2 linked regions of the Elephas maximus indicus genome follow. The protein of the gene in region 1 binds, or shares a complex with, the protein of each later gene. Links are inferred from orthologs where the notes say so. Each region holds a gene or a part of one and is shown on either strand. Other genes may lie near its edges.

Region 1 (11,528 bases):
TACTACCAGTGACTGCTCTGACAGGGATTACAATAGAGGGTCCCAGACACAGCGGGAGAAAAATGTAGAACGAAATTCAAACTCACAAAAAAAGACCAGACCTACTGGTCTGATGGAGACTGGAGAAACCCTGATAGTACAACCTCCGGATATCCTTATAGCTCAGTAATGAAGTCATTCCTGAGGTTCACCCTTCAGACAAGAGTAGACAGGCCCATAATCAGACAAAGAGTAGACAGGCCCATAATCAAACAATAATACACATAGCTCAACCATGTATACGAGACTAAGTGGGCACACCAGCCCAGGGGTGAGGACAAGAAGGCAGCAGGGGACAGGAAAGCTGGACAAACCGAAATGGGGAGCTCAAAGTCAAGAAGGGGAGAGTGTTGACACGCCCCAGGGTTGGCAACCAATGTCACAAAGCAATATGTGTATTAATTGCTTAATGAGAAACTAATTTGCTCTGTAAACCTTCATCTAAAGCACAATAAAAAAAAAAGAATATTTTTAATTTATTGTTTGTGTATTTATTATTGGGGTGTTTTTTGGGGGAAAGGAATTGCAATTTACTTCCATTTTGAATGCATTTACGTCTTTATAATTAATTCATGTTGACAGCAAACACTTAAAAAAAATACAGATAAACCGAGAAAAGAAAACAGAAATCCCTACAATCCCAACACCTACTGATAACATTTTGGCCCATGGCCTTCCAGACTTCTCTCTGTGAAACATAAATGGAATTATGGTATGTCATTGTGTGCCATCGAGTCAATTCCAACTCATAGCGATCCTAGGTACTGTTTTAAAATCTGTTTTAAACTGAACATCTCGTATACATGGTTGAGCTACGTGTATTATTGTTTGATTATGGGCCTGTCTACTCTTTGTCTGAAGGGTGAACCTCAGGAATGACTTCATTACTGAGCTATAAGGCTATCCAGTGGTCGTACTATCAGGGTTTCTCCAGTCTCCATCAGACCAGTAGGTCTGCTCTTTTTTTGTGAGTTTGAACTCTTTTCTGTATCAATATATATGCTATTTACCTGTTTTAATATATTCACATACATATAATATAAATAGTTTATATTCTCATTTTTGTGGCCAAATTATATTTCATTAAATGGATTTTGAAAACAGATTTTGCTGGAATTCAGCAAGGTATTTTCGTTTTGTTTTTACTTTTCTGCAGTATGTTTCTTGTCATGTGACTTTGCTCTTTTTATTGTAGTGAAATATATAAAACATTACCTTTTTCATTTTAACTATTTTTATGTGTACAGTTCAGTGGCATCAATTATACTCACAATGTTAGGAAGGTTTTAATGTGGCTTCATGGTAATCCTCATTCTGTCACAGCTCAGTACCTCATAGTAGCACACTCGTGATGGCCAAAACATTTACAGCCAGGACTGCCCAGGCGGTGACACATCAGAGGGATGCTGGTAGACGGGTCAGGCCAGCTGAATATCAGGCCTATGGTGGTTACGTAGGCTAATTGTGAGCTATCACACCAATAACCAGGTCCCATGGAGCTGATTTCAGTTCATGGTGGCCCCGTGTGCTTCACAGTAGAACTGTGCTCCATAGAGTTTTCAATGGCTGGGATCTTTTGGAAATAGATCTCCAGGCCTTTCTTCTGAGGTGCCCCTGGATAGACTTGAACTTCCAACCTTTTGGTTAGCAGCCGAGTGCCTTGACCTTTTGCACCACCCGCATACTCTGAGCTATGAGACAGCAGACTTAAGATCAGGGTGAGAGGACTGCCCTCCTTCACCAGTAGGAGCTTCTGCCTCGTGCTGACTTATTGCATAACTGCCCAGAAAAGGTCTAGCCAGGCTTCCTGACAGAGACTGGGAAGATCCCTCTCAAACACCCAGTCTTGCAGCCCTGGGATCCCTCAGGGTTTCTCTGTAAACTTCCCCAGCATTGTGCAATACTGCACCACTTACTTCTCTGTCCGGTAGTAGAGCATTCCTCGTTGGAAGTAAGCCACTGCCAAGTGCTTGTCTCTGTTGATGCTTTGGGTAAAGGCCTGTGGAGAGAAGAGTCCATACAAAGCAGTGAGGAGCTGTGAGATGACCCAGAGTATGGCTCAAGGGGGTCATGAGAATGGCTGATGTCTTGAAGGTGATAGGGTTTAGGGATTAGACAGACTGGGTCAGAATGTCCTGCTTCATTACTTCCTCGTTGCCTGGCACGCAGTAAATTACCCAATCTCCTTGAACGTTTGTTTTCTGTTTTGTAAAATGGGGATATTAACATCTGCTTCTCAAAGTTATTGACAAGATTAAAATAAGAGAAAATGCATAGGAAATGCTAGTAGTAAGGGCTCGAGCAGGAAAACAAAGACATACAGAATGAGAAGACCAGAAGCAGAAGAGACAAGGAGGAGTCTGACCAGAGAGTGAGAAGGTGTGCGAGCGGGTGAGCTGAGAGGTGAGTGGTGGCCTGCACAACCTTCCAAGGACCCCCGAAACCAGGGAGCACACAGTCACAGCCGGCACAGCTGCTCCCAGACCAGCTGCTGCCCTTTCCCATCCCTTCTCCCTGACAATGCGCCCTTTGTCTTTATCACCCTCAGAGCCTGTGTGCCGTTTGCCCAACCGCTCAGCAGGCCAATGATAGAATGGGGCTGCCATCCTCCCTCCAGCCAGAGGTGGGAGCCCTCTCCTGTTCCTTCTGGCATGTGTGCTGACTCTGGAGCCTGTGTTCTACTCGTCAGGCTGAGAGGGCATTTCAGCTACTTCTCTCTCTTCCTGTTGCCTGGAATATGGCTGAGGGTTGTTCACCTTCTGTCAACTGTAAGGATGATGGTGGGAAGAACTGGGAGCCATGCATCTGTCCACACTGCCTTGCAAAGACCATCAGTGAAAAGTAAAAATAATAACTAACATTTATACAGCGGTGTGAAGTTACACAGTTGGTGCCTTGCAGTACAGACAATAAACACATTTGGCTGCTAACTAAAAGTTTGAAGGTTCACGTTCACACAGAGGCTCCTCAGATGAAAGCCTGGTGATCTACTTCCAAAACATCAGCCACCAAAAACCCTAAAGAGCACAGTTCCGTTCCGACACACATGAGGCTGCCATGAGTTGGACTCAGCTGGCTGGCTGGGCTCACTAATTCTCGCATCAAAAGCATAATGCCTAAGACCAAAGGTACGGAGAGAGGCAGAGCTGGGATTTGATCCTAGATCTTCTGCTTCTAAACTTATGTCCTTTCCAGCTTACCATGATCAATTCAAACAGTGATTATTGATAATGCTCAACCCCATACTAAGGATTTGAGGAATAAAAATATTTTTAAAAGGAAGAACACAAAAATCCTCACAACTGGACCAGTAAGCAACATCAAGATAAACAGAAAAGATTGAGGTTGCCAAGGATTTCATTTTACTTGGATCCAAAAACAATGCTCACAGAAGCAGCAGGCAAGAAATCAAAAGACAAAACTGCATTGGGCAAATCTACTGAAAAAGACCTCTTTAAAGTGCTGAAAAGCAAAGATGTCCCTTTGAAGACTAAGGGACGCCTGACCCAAGCCATGGTATTTTCAGTCGCCTCACATGCATGCGAAAGCTGGACAATGTATAAGGAAGATCAAAGAAGAATTGATGCCTTTGAATTCTGGTATTGGCGAAGAATATTGAATATACAATGGGCTGCCGGATGAATAAGTTTGTCCCAGAAGAAATACAGCCAGAATACTCCTTGAAAATGAGGATGATGAGGCTTCATCTCACTTTGGACATGTTTTCAGGAGGGACCAGTCCCTGGAGGACATCATGCTTGGTAAAGTAGAGGGTCAGCAAAAAAGAGGAAGACCCTCTATGAGATGGATTGGCACAGTGGCTGCAACAATGGGCTCAGACAATGCAGCGATTGTGAGGATGGCACAGGACTGGGCAGTGTTTCATCCTGTTGTACACAGGTTTGCTGTGAATCGGAAGTGACTCAACAGGCACCTAAACAACAATCCACACAATGCCCTTGGCAGACATTATTAATCAATCACCGTATGATTTCCTTCTGCCAGCCTCAGAATCCTTAAAAGAATGCTCCACATTATCGATCAGAGTTGGCACTTGAGGTGAAACTTGTTTTTCATAAGTGCCGTCCCCCCCTCCCCCGCCACCTACTTACTGGCAGGCAAGGCTGACACACATGAAACTCTTGGAAAGCTACCAGGCTCCTTATCATCAGGTGCTAAGTGGTAAGATGGAGACCCCATGTCCAGCAGGAGTTCATAGAAGGAAATATAAGAAGAGAAGTCTTCAGAACGGTGTTAAAGAACGATTAGAGATTGGCTTGAATTTAATAGGTGGAGGGAAAGAAGAGCATAATCTGGGGTTACTGGGTCTCAACGCTTGCGGCCCTTTAGAAGTACCCCCAGGAGCTTTTAAAAAACTAGGATTGTTTAGGTCCCACCCCAACCAATGAAATCAGAATCTTTGGAGGTGGGATCTGGGCATCTTTTGTTCTTGTAAAGCTCCCCAGAGGTTTTTGAAGTGCAGACAGGATTGAGACCCATAATTAAACAGAGGCCCAGAGGAGACCAGGGTGGAGAGAGGCCCCTCTGCTCACCTTCTCCGCCTCCGGCATGTTTTCCAGGATCGTGTGCACGCAGCCCATGTTGAAGCAAATCCTGGAGTGGGGATCCTGGACGGCGGCAAAGGCTTCCAGAGCGCCCTTCCAGTCCTTCTTGTCAGCTGCCAGCACGCCTTCATTCCAGAGGCTGATGGCTTCAGCCAGGGACATGATCAGGTGGAAACCAGGGGGCCGGGAGCACTGCCAGGGGACAGCTGAGGCCGGGCGGGGCGGGGGGGCAGGGAGCGGGTGAGGAGGAGCGTCTCCCCTAGCAGGGCGGCCCAGCTGCCCCAGGTGTTGACTTCCCTGGCCTGGTGCTCACAGTGCGGTCTAGTCTCTCTTAAGACAACTTCTCAGTGTTGCAAATGCATCAGGAAATGTCCCCACCTTTTGGTTACTGACGCATAACCCTACCAAGAGAGAGTAAGGGAAAGAGATAGAAAGAGGGTGAGCCGGGGCAGAGTGCAGACAAAGAGAGGAAGTACATCAGATTCTGCCTGCAAGGGGTCAGTTCCCCAAAATGCTTCTGCTCTGTCACCCAGCCCCTCCTTTTCTGTCCTCTGCCTTCTGCAACAGCTTCTGGCCAAGGCCCCAGGGTGACCTTGGCAGGTCACTGCCCCTCCCTGAGCCTCAATTTCCATACCTCTGTTAAATGAGGGGAAAACCTGGTGGCATAGTGTCTAAGTGCGACCGCTGTTAACCAAAAGGCGGGCAGTTCAAATCCACCAGGTGCTCCTTGGAAAACTCTCTGGGGGAGTTCTGCTCTGTCCTGTGGGGTTGCTATGAGTCAGAGTCACTTGATGGCAGTGGGTTTGGTTTGGGTTTTTTGTTAAATTAGGGAGTTGAATGAAAGAATAGTTCTTTCCAGTCTTAAATAAGTTTCTTCATTTAAGGTGGTTTTCTTCCTCTCTCTTAACCTCATGGACTGTCTTGGTATATTAGCTTTTATCTTGAGCTAAAATTAGCAGTGAACACATTTCTGAGACAGGATGGCCTTGGGGGTGTCTATCTAAGTGTAACTTTCATGAACACTTAGGGAGCACAGACGGGACCAGTTTTCTGAAAATGCTCAAACTGGAAGTCACATAGGACTGTGGATTATGACTTTCTCTGTCCTTCTGTGAAAAATTGAAGAGACACGGTGTCTACATTGATGACTAATGAGTTTACTAGTCTCCTAAAAAAAAACAGATTTAAGATTCCTCTCTTCGATGCCTCCAAAAAAAACCAAACCCGTTGCTGTCAAGTTGATTCCAACTCGTAGTGACCCTATAGAACAGAGTAGAATTGCCCCATAGAGTTTCCAAGGAGCACTGCGTGGTGGATTCAAACTGCTGACCTTTTGGTTAGCAGCCGTAGCACTTAACCACTACACCACCAGGGTTTCCCTTTGATGACTCAGCAAAATAAAATTCAATAAAATCTGCCTGAAGAAAAATTGGGCGTAGCGGATATAACCAATTTGACTTATTAAATTCTGGTAAATATTAGATATTATTAAGTAAACTGCATGTTTACTTCATTCAAATATTCAGATGCCAACTCTTGTTCTGTACAACCAAAAGATTTCACCAATTATCACCAAGCTTCCCCTAAAAGCTTGAAAATAAAACTTTAAAATGAACACTTAACAGGGCTTGTCAGATAGATGGTGTGAGAATTGAGAAGACATGCACAGACTGTTTTCGCTGTTTAGAAGGCCTTCCCACCTCACTTCTTTGCCTGGCAAACTCCTTCTCATTCTTAAAGACCCAGTTAAAAATTTACCACATATGCCAAACCTAGCCCTGCACTCTCAAGGAATAGAAACAATTTCTCCCTCCTCTATAGCATCTCTTCCCTAACATATACCACATTAAATTTTATTGCAATTTATGTCTTCATCTGCCTTTAGCATACCTCTTAAGCCCCTTGAGATTTGGAACCATGCCTTTTCACTCTTGGGTCCTCAGTGTCAATACTGAATAAATGACATAGGAATGCATTTCAAAGGAAATTAAAGACCATTGGCAAACAACCTAGGTAGCAGTAATGCCAGGAAGAGGTATTGCTATTCCAATCGGTGAGTAAATAATCAAAACTTAAGTAGCACATTAATTATTTCTAGGGAAAACAAGTGATTCTGCCATTAAACTGTTGTTGTGAGGTGCTGGCAAGTTGATTTTCGACTCATAGCAGCCCAGTGACAGAGTAGAACTACCCCAGAGGGTTTTCTAGGCTGTAATCTTTACGGAAGCAAATCATCAGGCCTTTCTCCCTCGGAGCAGCTGGGTGGGTTCTGTTAAAACAAAAATCATATTAAGCCAAAAAAAGAAACTGATCGAAGTTTATTTAATATACACTTTGCAAATTGCAGTAACATTTTAACTGTTGTTCGCTGCTGTGGAGTTGGTTCCAACTCATAGTGACCCTGTTCCAACTCATAGCGACCCTACGTAAAACAGAACGAAACACTGAAGTCCTACACCATACTCACAATCGTTGCCACGTTTGAACCCATTGCTGTAGCAGTTGTCAATCCACCTTGCTGAGGGTCTTTCTCTTTTTTGCTGATCCTCTACTTTACGATGTCCTCCTCCAGGTACTGGTCTTTCCTGGTAGCATGTCCAAAGTCTGTGAAACAAAGTCTTACCACACTTGATTCTAAGGAGCATTAGGGCTGTACCTTTTCCAAGACAGATTTGTTCATTCTTCTGACAGCCCATGGCATATTCAACATTCTTCATCAACACCATAATTCAAAGGCATAAATTCTTCTTCCGTCTTCCTTATTCATTGTCCAGTTTTCTCATGCATATGAGGCAACTGAAAATACCATGGCTTGGGTCAGGCATACCGCAGTGCTCAAACTGACATCTTTGCTTTTTAATACTTAAAAGAGGTGTTTTGCAGCAGATTTGCCTGTTGCAATATGTCATTTGATTTCTTAACTGCTGCTTCTGTGGGCATTGATTTTGGTTCCAAGTAAAATGAAATCCTTGACAACTTCAACCTTTTCTCTGTTTGTCACGATGTTTCTTATTGGTCCAGTTGTGGGGATTTTTGTTTTTTTTATGCTGAAGTATAATCCATACTGAAGGCTGTAGTCTTTGATCTTCATCAGTATTTCCAGTCTTCTTCATTTTCAGCAAGAAAGGTTGTGTCATCTGCATATCTCAGGTTGTTAATGAGTCTTCCTCCAATCCTGTTGCCTCATTCTTCCTTGTATAGTCCAGCGTCTCAGATTATTTGCTCAGCATACCAACTGAGTAAATGTGGCAAAAGGATACAACCCTGATATACACCTTTCCTGATTTTAAACCATGCAGTATCCCCTCGTTCTGTTCAAACACCTGCCTCTTGGTCTACATACAGGTTCCAAATGACACTTCAGTGTTCTGGAATTCCCATTCTTCATGTTACAGAGAAAAAACCACTCACTCCTTGAAATAAGCTTTATTTATTAAAAAGAAAAGAAAAGGTCATTCAAATGCAGAGAGACAGCAGGTCACATAAGTAAAAACTGATAACTCCAGTGAGAGAGCTCCTAACAGGAAGAGATACAGTCCAAGGAATAAAGAAATGATAACACAATAATTTGATTGGTTAGTCTTTGATTGAGGTCACAAGAAGGGTGGTTTAGGAGGTGGGGAATGGGCTCCTATTGGATAATTAGATACAGAGGCTTATAGTAATTGATTTCAGGGAATAATTACAGAGATTTTCAATCACAGTCACATATCTTTCAGGGGAGGTCATAAGAACATCACTGATTGATGTTAAGCAGCTATAACTAGATGTTTCGGGGATCCATGATAACCATTCAGTACCAGCACCACATTTCCCAGTAACAACTTGTTCAAACAAAACCCTTTTAAGTTGCCTGGGAAACTTTAGAGAACGCTAGTTCCAGGACCTTTTCAAAACTTTTTTTTTTTTTTTTTAATTACATCCTTGTTATAAAGAAACATTTCCTAGGCCCACTTTGCACAAAAAGACACCTGTGTCAAGATTCCCTTCCTCAGAATGTATTTCTTTTACATTCTGGCTTAACCACACAGTTCTCATGAATGCTAGCAATTAAGGAGCCAAATAGCAGGTGCTTGTGAAAAGCCTGGGCTGACTCTACTGTTAGCTAGGCAAATAAAGAGTCTTGGGCAGGCATGTGAAAAGACCAGTTTAATTCAGCAAAAACTGAGTTTAATTCAATCATTTAGTCCTGGTCAAAAAGGCTTCATGAACTTCTCCTTTACATTTGCAACATTATCTACAATTTGTTATGATCCACGTAGTCGAATGCTTTTGCATAGTCAATAAAACATTTCAACTACAGAGTCAAAAATACTCTGAAGATGAGAAAACACCAAAGATTCTTACAACCCATCTCACAGACAGTGCCAGGGAATTGGGGCCAGAACAGTGTTTCCATAATAATTTATCCTAAAACATAACTTCTAGTCTGACCTTGGAGTTTCTGTTTCTTGAAACTGACTTCACATAGGTAATTCTTCACAAGGCCCAAGGTGGGTATTTTTTTACAAATTAAGCTAGGCTATTTTGACCTAAAGGTAACTTTAAGAAGAGCAGTTTCTTCATGGCTCAAAGTTCAAAAGAAGGTCTTAGAGAAATGGCCTGAGTGGGTCATCCCAACTCCATGGATCCCAGAAGTCCAGATTTCAGAAGAATTAAATCTGTTTCTCATTTTGAACCTCTAACCTTTCAGGTAGCAGCTGAGCGCTTAAATGTTGCACTACCAAACCGAAAAATAAAACCTGTTGCTGTTGAGTTGATTCCAACTCAGCGATCCTACAGGATGGAGTAGAACTGCCCCATAGGGTTTCCAAGGAGCAGCTGGTGGATTCGAACTTCCAACCTTTTGGTTAGCACCCTGAGCTCCTAACCACTGCATCATCAGGGCTCCGTTGCAACACCAGGACTCATTATTTAAACGTTTTTAGTCTTATCGTTTATATTATTATCCTAGCCTGACACTCAGAATTCTCTTCGATCTGACCCCCATGACTTTTCTTACCTCATTTCCCAGAACTTCCCTTCACAAACCCACTTCTTCATACAAATGCTACTATGTTCTTCTCCCTCTATACGCCTTCATTTCCTGCCTTCACCTGGGCTGTTCCTCTCTCTGGGCTGCTTTTTCCTGCATCTGCCCCTTCAAACCCACCTTGCACAACCTTTGATGCCTTGCTCAAACATCACTTTCCTTTAGAAGCTGGCCTAAAATCAGGCCCAAACCTGTGATTTCGCCTTCTTTTGAACTTCCTCAACTCCTTCCCTACACCTCCCACATGTCACTTAACAGTCTCCACCGAAGTAGAATTACTTAAGTGCATGCTGTCTTAAGGAGTCCTGGTGGCACAAACGGTTAAGAGCTCTGCTGCTAACCAAAATGTTGGTAGTTCAAAACTACCCAGCAGCTCCGTGAGAGAAAAATCTGGTGATCTGCTTCTGTAAAGATTATAGGATAAGAAACCCTATGAGGCAGTTCTACTCTGTCTCATGGGATCATTATGAGTCAAAATAGACACACTGGCACCCAGCAACAACAACAATAACAACATGCATGTCTTAGCCCTCAAATGGACCTCAGCACCTGGAAAAGAACTCCTGGGACTGACCCATTCTTGTATTCCCCAGAGCACTAACAATGCCATTCATGCTCAATTCTCTCCATTCCCTCTTCCCTTACTGTTGCCACCCAGGCCAAGCCACCATCAGTTCATGGATTAATGTTACAGCCTCCTACCATCTCCTACCCCCTCCATCAGTTCTCCACACAGCAGCCAGATGAATCTTTTTAAAACTACAAGTCAGGTCACATCAAGCCCCTGTTTTAAGTTCTTTTATACCTTTGCATTGCTCTTAAGATAAAACCCAAATCCTTCCCATAGTGCAGGGAAGGACCCTGCCTGCTGTTTCACCTTTGTTTGGTGCTATTCTTCCCCTCCCTCCCAGGATTTTAGCCACCCTGGTCTCCTTTCATGTTCTTGAATGAGCAAAGCCTGTTACCTCTACCTGGAATGCTCTTCCCCCAAAGCTTTGCCTGGCTAGTTCCTGCTCATCTTTCACTTCCTCAGTGGCCTGTCTGATCCTGTGACCTCACTATGATTCCCTGTTATCTCTCTCACAATACATGGCTTTCTCTGGTCCTGGTATTTGCCACAATTTATAATTGTATATGCATCCCCACTGCAGAGACATTCTATTTAATCCTTATGTGATACTGCCGGTAGGTGGCCTTTCCAGCTGTCATTCATTCACCTTCCTCCTTTTGGTAGAATCCCAGTTCTGTACAAGTCTCCACTTCATGAGCTCCAGGGGAGATAAGTCCCAAGCACTACCCCAGGGAGTGGGTTCTGATTGGTTTAGGCATGAGCATGAGATATAAATCTAGTCAATGAGATGTTAGTGGAAGTCTGGAAAGAATTTCTGGGAAAGGTTTTTTTTTTCTCACTGATTAAAAAAAAGACACATGAGAGGAAACAGTACTTGTTTCTCCAAATAGTGTCATGAAGATGTAGTGCCAGGAACAGTGGCAACTGTATTGTGATCAGGAGGGCAACTAGCCAAGAATAACTCATTATGCTGAGGAGAAGAGAATGGAGAAATAAAAGAACCTGGCTTCCTCATTATGCTGGTGAGCTCATAAATTAACCAATATTGGAAGTGACCTACTTCAGGAATTCTTGTTTGGTGAGATAGTTAATCTGTCTATTGCTGAAGCCAGCTGAATGACAATTTCTTTTCTCCACAGTTTAAAATCTCCTGCTAGACACATCATTGTATTCTCAATACCAAGCACGGCACTTGACATATAGTAGGTGCTCAATAAAACTTACGTTGGATCCATTTATTCAGCAAGAAGCTAAAAACATTCCCAATGTCTTCCTATAACACTGAGGAAAGAGCCTTTGAGATAAAAATAAAACTCTTTTT
Region 2 (11,234 bases), on another chromosome or scaffold:
ACCTCACAAGGCCAAGTGTGGGCCAAGGTGTGGAGTAGCAGGGACTCCTAATCGTGCTGGAGATGCAGGTTCAGATTGCCCAATAAGCAAGGTAAGCACAGGCTTACTTAAGCTTACTTCCTAATCTGTAGTGAACAATTTCACATAGGTTTTTTTGATCAGTAAGCAAGCACAAGTAAGCCCGTGCTTACCTTGCTCACACGGTAATTCATCCCTGTCAGAGACTGTAAATTTGAAAAGAGGCTTTGATTCTGTAGGAAGGTGGTGTGGGCTTGGGAGACAGACAGACACCAGCTATACGTAGAAGCAGAATCTTTGGTGCGGTGAAAAAATGTGAAATTGTTCACTACAGATGATCTGGTAAGCAAGGTAAGCACAGTGCTTACCTTGCCGATTGGATAATATGTCCCTGTGAGATGCAATCACTTTGGTTTGGTATTGAGGCGAAGGGGACAGTGATGGTTCAGCAGTGGCATTCCTGCCTTCCATGTGAGAGACCTAGGTTCAATTCCCAGCCAGTGCACCTCATGGGCGGCCACCAACCATCTGTCAGTGGAGGCTTTCCTGTTGCTGTGATGCTGAATAGGGTTCAGTAGAGCTTCCAGTGGGTCTGAGGAGGACTAACTATGTAGCAATGTTCATATTTTTGTCTGGGTGGTGAGTACCCTGGTGTTCGGTGTATTATCTTTTATACCTGTTGGGACATTTTAAATACTAAATAACACTTTTTTTTTAAGGACATAGGTGACACAACACAGTGTTATCCCTGCTGTGATGGAGAAGTTCAGGGACTGTGGGAGCTTAAAAAAGGCATCTACTCCAGCCTGGGATTCTGGGAGGCCTTCCTGGAGGAGGTGACATCTGATCTAAGACTTGAAGAGCAAGCAAGAGTTTATCAGTCTCAGGAAGGGATGGGTGGGAGAGAGAGGAAAGGCATTTTCAATGGGCATTGTGGGCAAAATATGAGGGAGAACATGGAGCATTTGAGAAACGTGAGTTATTGGAAGTCTGTAGGGCAAGGGATGAGGATAACGGAGGAGCTTCAGGAGGAGGAAGGTGAAGATGTTAGGCGAAGGGGGAGGGCTTCTGGAAGAAGCTGCAACCCAAGGGCAAAGACTGACGGTGGGGCTTCCAGCCCAAAGCAAGAGGGACATGATGTGAAGGAGAGAAACCCCTGCCTGGTTCACCTGTCCTGTGTATTCCCACCTTGCCACCTTTGGGTCCATGAGTCCTCCTGCCCAGCCCCCTCTCAGGGACAACAAGGAGGCTGAGGACCTGCTAGCTTGCTGAGTGGGAGCTGGGACACACACAGATGGGACAAGCTGGCCGGGGCTGGGGATCAGTACCCAGCAGATGGGCACATGGAAGCAGGCAGTGGTATGCTGAAGACCTTCCATCGGCTCATGAGAGTCTATTGCTAAATTATCAGGAATTTCATGAGCTGGTTGTTAAATGTAATCATTATTAAAAACCAAATTCTAAACTTACAATTAAATACATTATGGGTCGTCTGCGACTTACGGCATATTCGAATTATGACATCAGTGTGTCTGGAACACTGCAGCTTCCTGGGAGGAAGTTATGGGAACATGCATTCAGGGGTTTGGAAAAATTGCCAAGTTAGGCAAACACACCTCAAGCATTCGATTAGGATAATATGATGGAGGAGATGAGTGGAAAAATCGTCCCTATGGCGAGAACGCTGAATTTAGAACTTGATATCATCAATGTGGAACAGCTCATAGATCAGGAAGAAGGGGAACTGACAGACCAGGACTTAATGGATTTTGAAGAGGAAGGAAATGCTGCAGAAGAAAGAAACGAAGAAGAAGAGGGAGAGAAGTTGTCAAAAAATTCCACAGGGAAAGGACCAGCTGGAGTCTTTTCTAAACTAAATCAGGAGCTTCAGTTGCTTGAAAACATGGACCCAGACACTGATTGCATCGCTGAAGTTGACAGGCAGATTTGGGAAGCAGTGAGATGTTACCACGAAATATACGAATTAAAAAAGAAAAGGATCATACAGATAACTTTCACTAATTTTCTGAGTAGAAACTCCATCCCATTCCCAGGGATAACCCAGATGATCCGGAACCTTCCACAGGCGGAGTTATTACCACAACTGACAAAATGCCAACGTTGTCCAACTCTTCATCGTTGGAGTAAATTTTTATGATTTGTGTATTTTTTTATGTATCTATGTATTAAATTACATTTTATGATTTTATATGTTTTTATGATTTTATATATATTTTTATGATTTGTGTATTTTTATGTATCTATTTATTAAATTAAATTAAAAAATTTTTGGATGTATTAAAATATATCTGTAAGTTTATATGGAATGTTTCCAGCCCCCAAAGACAAATCAAGATCGAATTTATAAAGATACTGATCATAAAAGGCAATAATAATGAAAAGAAAAAAAAAGAGCCTTTTGACTTTCATCAGAACCGACTTACAGCAGAATCGTGGGAATGGAACCACGTAGTAAGCTGAGGGCTACCTGTATATTAAAAACAAAGGCAAAAAAAAATACTCAAAATTTACTTATTCCACTACATTTTAGTATTATCTGTACTTTTGAGGTTATTTACATCTATTGCATCTATACGGTAGAAATACCATATCTAGGGCGCTACTGTGGCTCCTTTCCTACTCCGCAACCGGGGACCTCACGTTGGCAGCTTGACATCAGCCATTTCTGGTTGGGAGCATTTACATGTCAGAAATGGACAAATGGCATGAATCGGGACTTAATGTACTATTTTCTTAATTGTCTAGTCTTAATGTGATGGAGAAAATGTTAATAATACATATTAAACTTAAAGGTATGTCATGTCTATAAACAAACAACTACAAAAAAAAACAAACCCGCTACCATCAAGTTGATTGTGACTCATATGACCCTATAGGACAGGGTAGAATGACCCCATAGGATTTCCAAGGCTGTAATCTTTACAGAAGGAGACTTCCACATCTTTCTCCCGTGGAGCAGCTGGTGGATTTCAACCACTGACCTTTTGCTTAGCAGCAAATTGCTTAAACCGCTGGGCCACCAGGGCTCCTTTCAATATTGTGCCGAGCACAAAATATTGAGGAAATATTTCTCCTGCGTTCAAAAACTATCCCTTAATTCAGCACAGCAGTCACTCCCATTATCAACAAACAAGTGAAGTTTTTATGTAAGCCTTCCTTGTTTCACTTTCTTCTTACGTGTTAGCATAAGCCAAAATACCAGCCAATATTCCTGTTGTAATGACAACTCATTTGTCAATTGCAACTTTAGGTTGCACACAAGAGTTCAGCAAGAATCAATGAAAGCATTCCGTGAGAATCAGTTCCCTGTATGTGGAATTTACAGTGAGGAGCACTGTGTATTTTATTGTTGGTAATTGACTATTATATATCCTTTATATCAGTAAAATTTATATTGTACTTCTGCATGTATATATGACAATACCTTTTTTTTTTTTTTCAGAGAGTGGATCGTTAAGCATTTGCCAGCACCTCATTGCGGGGTGGAGATTGTGGCTCCGAAATCCAAAGGCCTGTGGTGGGGAGGAGGGAGCAGACCGGCCCTGAGAAGCCCTGTCCAGGGAGGTGGGCTTGGGCTGAAAATGAGGAAGGGCTTTCTGACAGGCTAGGCTGGCCAAGGGTGGAAGGGGTTGCCCCCTAAGGGAATGAGCTCCCCATCATAGGAGGTATGTGAACAGAGGCTAGACAGCAGCTTCCAGTGCACGAACTTGTTATCTGATTGGGGTCCGTGCCCTGGAGCAGTTGAGCCAATGAAAAGTACTCCAAATCAGAAAGAGAGAGAAAGTTTATTAGGAGGTGACGCCAACAGGCAGTCCACCAGCGGCGCTGGCTGTTTTCATGGAGTCTTGAAAAGCAATTTCTACATCAGAGCTTATATATCATTTTTGCAAGGATTACTGCGTCTTCACATATGCCTGCAGATGGTCGGATGAGTATATATCCCATAACAACTACAAGAAAGTTTTAAACTAAAGATATGCATGCTGGCCATCTGGACTCTAATCTTTATGTTTGTAACAGGCAAAAAAAAAAAAAAAAAAACTTATATAAAAATCTCTCGGCTAGTAGAGCTGGCCTGCCAAGTTTACTCTGACCGAGATAAAGAGCAAGCAAGAAAGCTGCAGACCAAAAGTACCAGGCAGCCTTCCTAGCTGTCACCTTGCAGGCTGAAGGCCATCTCCAAAGAGAACAAAGAAAAGGAGGGAGATCAAGGCTTCAAGAGCTGAGAAGGCCCCGCAGCCCATTGGAAAGAGACCAGCTTAGCTGGTATAATAAAAAAGAACATTGAGAGTGTACAAAATGCCAGCAAAAAAAAATTTGTGGGTTACTTAGAGTATCGCTATGGCGTTAGTTACGCCAAGCCCTCTATCGCCCATTTTGAAAAGGAGAAAACATGTTGCGAGGTATTAGGGTCAAAAACTGAAGCATTTGTTGCTGGTGGGGCAAGAGCGGAGGCACCTCTGCAACAAGGGCATTGGACAAGGAGATCCAAACTCACTCCCAATGTGGTGTGGGGGATGCCTGGCCTTCCTCATCCCAAGCTGGGCCCCATGAAATGCTTCCCCCGTCTCATCTCAGTTTATGCAAAGCACAGAAGGAAAGATATCAAAGTTTGTTGGCTGGTTTAATGATCGACTGGTCAAATGATCGACTGGTCAAGTACTGGAGCAGGCCCTTGGGGAAGTTGTATTTCCCTTCCTGCAAAAGTCATTTTGGCAAACCCTGTAGTTTGCGTGCATAGCCCTGGAAAGGCTGGGCCTGCTGTAGCCCCTGGGCACAGTCTTGGAAAGGCTGGGCATGAAGGCAGAATTGACCTGACACTGACCCTTTCCCAGGAGGCCCAGGTGAGTCTCCAGGTGCCTGTGTGAAAGGAGGTGGCTGTGGGGATCCCAGCTCTACCCTCTCCCAGTGCAGGAAGCGAGAGGGGTACCTGGCTGGCCACTTGTCCTGAGTGACCAGTCCAGGGTAGGGGACCAGTGGCTCTGCTCAGCCCCTCTCCTGTCCTTTCCCCCTGGAGCTGGGAAGGCACTGGGGGTGGAGAGAGATGGCAGTAAACAGTGACAGCTAGATGAATTTGGATCCGACTGGAGAGACCAGTGTTGCTCCTGCGGCTACCCAGAGACCCTCCCCAGAGCTGCAGAACTCAGGCCGTGTCTTCACAAATAGCAGCTGGGTGCCAGAAGAGCTCAGAGTCACCTGGCCCTGGGTTTGATTTCAGGCTGGCTGATTCTGGTGAGTCTCCTGACTTCTGGAACTCTCAGTTTCTGCACCTGTAAAATGGGGCCACGGTGCTTGGTTCCCGGGTGTCTGGCTGTGAGGCTGAAAGCAGCGATTGCAGCCTCCCAGGACAGGGCCTGACTCGTGGGGGGCACTGCTTGGCACTGCCCTTGCATTACCCCTTCCTGCCTCATCACCTGCACCCCATACTGCCCATCCTTCCACACTCAGGTGTTCCCACACAGGCCCATGCTTTGCGGGGGGCCGGGGGTTAGCTCTGCGCCTCTGATCATGCACCGCACCCCCCAGAGCCTCTCCAACACCACCTTCCAAGTGCCAGCTCCAATGCCACCTGCCAGCCTCCAGCTGTCTTTTCCTGTGCCTCTGAGATCCCCTCTCTGTGGATCCCCTGGGGCCCCATCACTTCCTGCCTTGCTTTACAGCCACCCCCGAGGAGGTCTTATGTTCCCCTTTATAAAGAATGTGAACTCCAGGAACCAGCTATGTCTTTTGCACCCCGGAATCACCCGGCACTGTGCCTGGCACACAGTAGGTGCTCAATAAATGCTTATTGTTTAGAGTTGAGATGGACTGAGTTCTTGGAAGCCTCAAGTTCTTGTAGAGCAATCTCTGGCTCTGCTCCATGACAGGACGCATGTCTCCCAGCCGAGAGTCCTATGTCCCCGCTGGTGCCCAGTGCAGGGGTGGCCATGGGGCACCCGGCCCGGCCCAGCACCTAAGAGGCGTGAGCTGTTCTGCCAGACCACATGCTCCGCCTTCTGCAAACGGCCATGGGGGAGCAGATTGGGTAAGTTCCCCTTCCGCTTCCTCTACCTCGTTCCCGCTGCTGCTGTCCCCGGCCGGTGCCTCGCAGGCTCTCCACACCCCTGGTGCCCACAGAGACGGTCCGCGCCTTGAGCTGTCACCACTGCTGCCCCCCAGGCCCCTGACACCATGCAAGCCATCAAGTGTGTGGTGGTGGGAGACGGGTAGGTACCTGTCAGAACTTCCTCACTGCCCCTACCAGGATACCCTGAGACCCTCCTGCTGATGTCCCTTGGGAAGCCCCCTGCCCGCAGGTGTAGGAGCCCCTGGGAGGCAGCTGGGAGGAGCTTCTTCGTCCAGGTTCCAGAGGGAGCAACTGGGGTGGGCTGCAGAAAGCTTCATTCTCTGGTCCATTCCACCCCGGAAGCTGCCTGGGTTGAGGGTATGGGACGGTGGATGACGGGCCTGGGACTCCTGACCCGCATCCTGAGTGCTGGTGGCAGGTCCTCCATGGGGGTGTCTTGGCTTTCAACTTTGTGGGTGCAGGTGGTGGTGGGGAACCAAAAATTTGGGCTCTAATCACTGGCTTGGTCCTGCTGTGTGGCTTTGGGCAAGTCACAGAGCCTCTCTGAACCTCAGTTTAGCTACTGGGAAGAAGCCATAATAGTTCATGCCCCCCGGGGCTGATTTAGAATCTCTTGGGATATTTTGAGTGGCTGCCTTGCTCTTGGAAACCCTGGTGGCATAGTGGTTAAGTGCTATGGCTGCTAACTGCCAGGCGTTCCTTGGAAACTCCATGGGGCAGTTCTACTCTGTCCTATAGGGTCGTTATGAGTTGGAATGACTCGACGGCACTGGGCTGGGCCTTGATCTTAGAGTCTGCTCAAAAATGTTGGCCTCCAAACCCTTCCTGCCCCACCTCCTCCTCCCTCCCCCGCTTGGAGAGGCTGGCAGCCGCCCTTTCAACCTGCCTGGTCAGGAAGGTTGTGTAGGGTACGTGGGTGAGGATGAGAAGGGGGAGGGGGACATTGCACCCTGAGAGATGAAACTAGGCAAGAAGGAGTGAAGATGAGATAGAAGGCGATTGAGGGGAGGGACATGGGGCGGGGGGGCTGGGCTGAGGTCCTTCACAGCTGTCAAACTCTCAGTGACCTCAGGTTTTCAGGCCCCCTTTCTGGTCTTCAGTTTCCTCATCTGTAAATCCATCTCTCATGCCAGCTACCACAACGCCTTAGGGTCCAGCCCACAGGTACATTCTGGGGTTTTCCATAAGTCCATCTGGTATGTTCTAGGTGGGCAGGGCCCTCTTGTCCAACTCTCCCATCCTACAGAGGGACAACTCGAGGCTTGGAGAGACGCGCTGTTTCCTAGCCTGGGTCCGGTGGCGCTGACTTTGGCTGGACACATCCTGGTGGGGGCGGGCAGGTTATCAGGCAGCCCTCAGCTGATTCTGATACGTGGTCATCATCTGCCCACTGCCCACCCCTGATCACTTCTGCTTTGTATCTAATCTGAGCACTGGAGGGCGGAAGTCAAGGGCAACGTCCCAGTCATTCAAAGTTACCTTGGTGGCAGGGCCAAGGAGGGCGGCAGTGGGGAAAGAGGGCATGCAGACTCCTCAGAACAGGAAGTGACGAAGCAGAGTGGGGAAGGCCCGAGGCTGCCCCTTTGGCCTCTTGGCTTCCCGCAGCGCTGCCTGGGCCCCACTCCCACACCAGCAGCCCGAGGGTGGAGACGGCATGAACAATGGCCATCACTGTTTATTTAGCACTTGCTGTGTACCAAGCATTGAGCTGGACACGCCTCCTCTGTTTTTCCTCCCACCGACCCTAGAATCAGGCCCATTTTACAGGTGGGAAAACTGAAGCTCCAGGAAGCTAAGTAATTTGCCCCAGACCTCATGGGATTTGAACCCAGGTCTCTATGACTCCAAAACCCGGTGCTCTTAACTGCTATGCTTCATGGAGAGGTGGGAGGAAAAGAGGAGGGAAGGGAGTGCCAGGTACCAAAAAACCAGACCTGCTGCCATCGGGCCACTGCCAGCTCACGGCCACCCCATGTCCTCAGAGTAGGACTGCTCCACGGCACGCTAAGTGCTTTAACATGCATCATCTAATTTAATTCACGGCACACTCCTAAGAGGATGGACTTGCGTTATTTTCTAGATGGGGAAACTGAGGCATCAGGTTATGTGATTTGCCCAAGGCCATGCCACTGGCAAGTGGTGGAGCTGGTGGGCGCTTGGACCCCAGAAGTGTGATGACAGGGCAGGTTTCCTGGCACCCCCTGCCCTTAACCCTCAGTCCCACACCACTACCTGAGAAAGCTGGTTAAAAATGCAGATTCTCAGTCCTGCCCCACGCCTATGGGTTAGAATCTCTGGGGTAGGACCTCAGTCTGCACTTTAAGAAACACCCCAGATGCCTCTCATGGGCTCTTGGGTTTGAGAGACAAAGGGAGTTTCAGATGGGGAGACTGTGGGCTAGACTGGACAGCGATTTGCTCCCCACCCCCAGGGTTGGGCCTGGTTAGACACTGAGGTCTTCCCTCAGGGGTGGGATGGGTGACCCAGCAGCCTCAGAAATCTCCCCGTATCTGGGGCCCATGACTGCTGTCTCCTGTGCTTCCTGTCTTTCAGAGCCGTGGGCAAGACCTGCCTTCTCATCAGCTACACCACCAACGCCTTCCCGGGAGAGTACATCCCCACTGTGTGAGTGCCCTGGGGCCGGAGGGGCCAGCTGGGAGGGCGCATGGGCGGCCCCTTTCCAGGCAACTTCCTGTGCGCCATGCTCCATCTGGGCACTTGGGGATGGGAGAATTCAGTGATGCCGAGCGAGCCCTAGTCCCTGCTCCCGTGGTGGAGGAGGGCTGTGAGCTGGGCGGGCTGAGTGCCGTGAGCTCCTGCGCAGGGCCAAGAGAGACTTCCTAAGGGTGGGGTGAAGGGGGTGGTGGGGAAAGGCAGGAGGTGGCCTTTCAGTGGGGCCTCAGAGACCATAGACCTGGGAGGAGAGCACTGGCCTTGCAAGGGCAAGGAGGGGAAAGCTGGTCTGAGTTGGAGAAATGTAAGAAGGGGTGGAGGGAGGAGGAGGTAGCCAAGAAAGCCTTGAAATCAAGATGCTAAGACCCCAATGGGGGCAGCACTGTGCTGTCCAGAGGCCAGCCTGGGCCCTGCCCTCTGGGGGATGCAGAGGCGGGGCTTCCATTTTACCCAGGTGTAGGAGTCAGACGTGGAGGGGAGGGATGAGCCAGGAAGCACCAGCTTCTCACTCACAAGCCCTCAGTGGCACCTGTCACTCACAGGACAACTTCCCAATTCCATCGCGTGGCATTCAAGGTCCTTTCTGGCCTTCTCTCAACCTTCCCTTCTAGCTTCCTCGCCCATTATTTTGCTGCACCTTCTGCTTCCGAACCCTCCTGTTTACCAAACACTTCCTGGGCATTTCTACCTCAGGGCCTTTTCTCAAGCTATTCCCTCTGCCTGGAGTGCTTTTCTTTCCCATGTCAACGTGTTGAGGGCCTCCAAGCCCAGCTCAAATATTCCTCCTCCAGGAAGCCTTTCCAATCTAGTCTGAAGGGGTCTCTCACTCCCCAGAGTCCTGCAGAATTTATCTGATCTCTCCTGTGACTGCAAACCTGTGGAGATGCCCTCCACATTCAGTCCATTTTGAGTCCCCCCCGCATTGCCTTGGCACAAGGACTGACACACAACAGGCACTCAATATATGTGCTTTGCGTTGACCCGCCTTGAACTTCATGGGAGAGGCCCCAGGAGGATTGATTAGAGCTATCACCTGTTGCCAGCCTACCGTGTGCCAGGCCCTGCACGAGATACTGCCCATGTGTGATCTCTTTGTGGGTATCATTACCCCCAGGACACCCACGACGAAGCTGAGGCACACAGAGGCTAAAAGGCTTGCTCCCCAGAGCCACCCAGGCCTGTCTGGCTACTGCAGGGCCTTGCTGGGGCCTTCATTTCTTGATCTTAATGCTGTGTTATGTTAGTTGCTGCTGTCATGTCACCTCCAACTCATGGCAACCTCAAGTACAACAGAATGAAATGTTGCCCTGTCCTGTGCCATCTTCATGATTGTTGGTATGCTCAAGTCTGTTTTTGCAGCCACTCTGTATTTTGAATGCCTTCCAACCTAGGGGGCTCATCTTCCAGCATTATACTGAACAATATTCTGTGATGATCCATAGGGTTTTCATTGGCTAATTTTGGGAAACAGATTGCCAGGTCTTTCTGCCTAGTCTTTCTTAGTCCGGAAGCTCTACTGAAACCTGTCACCATGGATGACACTGCTGGTGTTTGAAATACTGGTGGCATAGCTTCCAGCATCATAGCAACATGCCAGCCACCACAGTACAACAAACTGACAGATGGGTGGTGGTCTTGATCTTAAAGGGGCTCCCTTTCAGGAGCAGGGAGGGGGTCAGGCTGTCCTGGGAAGGAGCGGGAGAGACAGGCCAATTTGCCTCTGCCCCAGCCCATGGCATTAGAGGAATCCCCATTACCAGGGGCTCTGCCCCTAGTACTGCTCACAGACTCTACCCCCAGCCCAACAGCCCTGACCCTCTGGCCCCTGGACTGGGCTCCCTCTACAGACAGCCCTCCCTGGGACACTGCCCCAGGCCCTAGCTGCCTCAGGCACCCTGGCCTGAGCAGGAGGAGGTAGGCAGCCAAGGGAGGGCAGAAAGTTGTGTCAGGGTGCCTGGAAAACTGACTCCCATCCCAGCTCAGTCCCCAATTCCCCAAATAGCCTCTCTGCACCTGCCTTTATCTGCAAAATAGGGATGAGGGTCTCTGCCCCTTCACCACCAGTCATCACACGCTGACCAGGGACTTCCTCATGCTCAGCCGTCAGGAACCATCAGGGTTTGGAGAGGGCTGGCTGTCAACCTGGCAGCGAAGCAGGTGTGGAGTCGGGGATGGCAACTCCCGTAGAAGGCCACTGTCCCCAAGAGGAGTGTGTTGTTACTCCTGTGTTCCTGGTCTCAGGATGCCGGCTGGTGACCCTGTCCTGTCTTACCTGTCAGGCTGGGCTGGAGGATCCACTGGCTGGAGGATCCACTTGCTGGAGGACTCTGGACTAATCACTTCCTTTCCCTGAACCTCAGTTTCCCTGTCTATGAGAGGAGGGGGCTGGGCTGGAGTCATTCCCCAGGTGCTCCCCATGCAGGTGGGGCTACTGAGCCTGCTGAGACCATGCTGG

What was found.
Region 2: NCF2 (region 1) and RAC2 share a complex: the UniProt entries of both Homo sapiens proteins name them as parts of the phagocyte NADPH oxidase complex. The link is inferred for Elephas maximus indicus from reciprocal best matches to the Homo sapiens genes NCF2 and RAC2.

Annotation. Positions count from the first base shown.
Region 1 is NC_064842.1:47,062,145-47,073,672, forward strand, and holds the start of NCF2 (neutrophil cytosol factor 2), read right to left. Parts: upstream 5,019-11,528; 5' UTR 4,767-5,018; coding exon 4,593-4,766; intron 2,039-4,592; coding exon 1,956-2,038; intron 1-1,955. UniProt on the Homo sapiens protein: Subunit of the phagocyte NADPH oxidase complex that mediates the transfer of electrons from cytosolic NADPH to O2 to produce the superoxide anion (O2(-)).
Region 2 is NC_064822.1:181,091,474-181,102,707, reverse strand, and holds the start of RAC2 (ras-related C3 botulinum toxin substrate 2), read left to right. Parts: upstream 1-6,073; 5' UTR 6,074-6,210; coding exon 6,211-6,245; intron 6,246-8,659; coding exon 8,660-8,731; intron 8,732-11,234. UniProt on the Homo sapiens protein: Plasma membrane-associated small GTPase which cycles between an active GTP-bound and inactive GDP-bound state.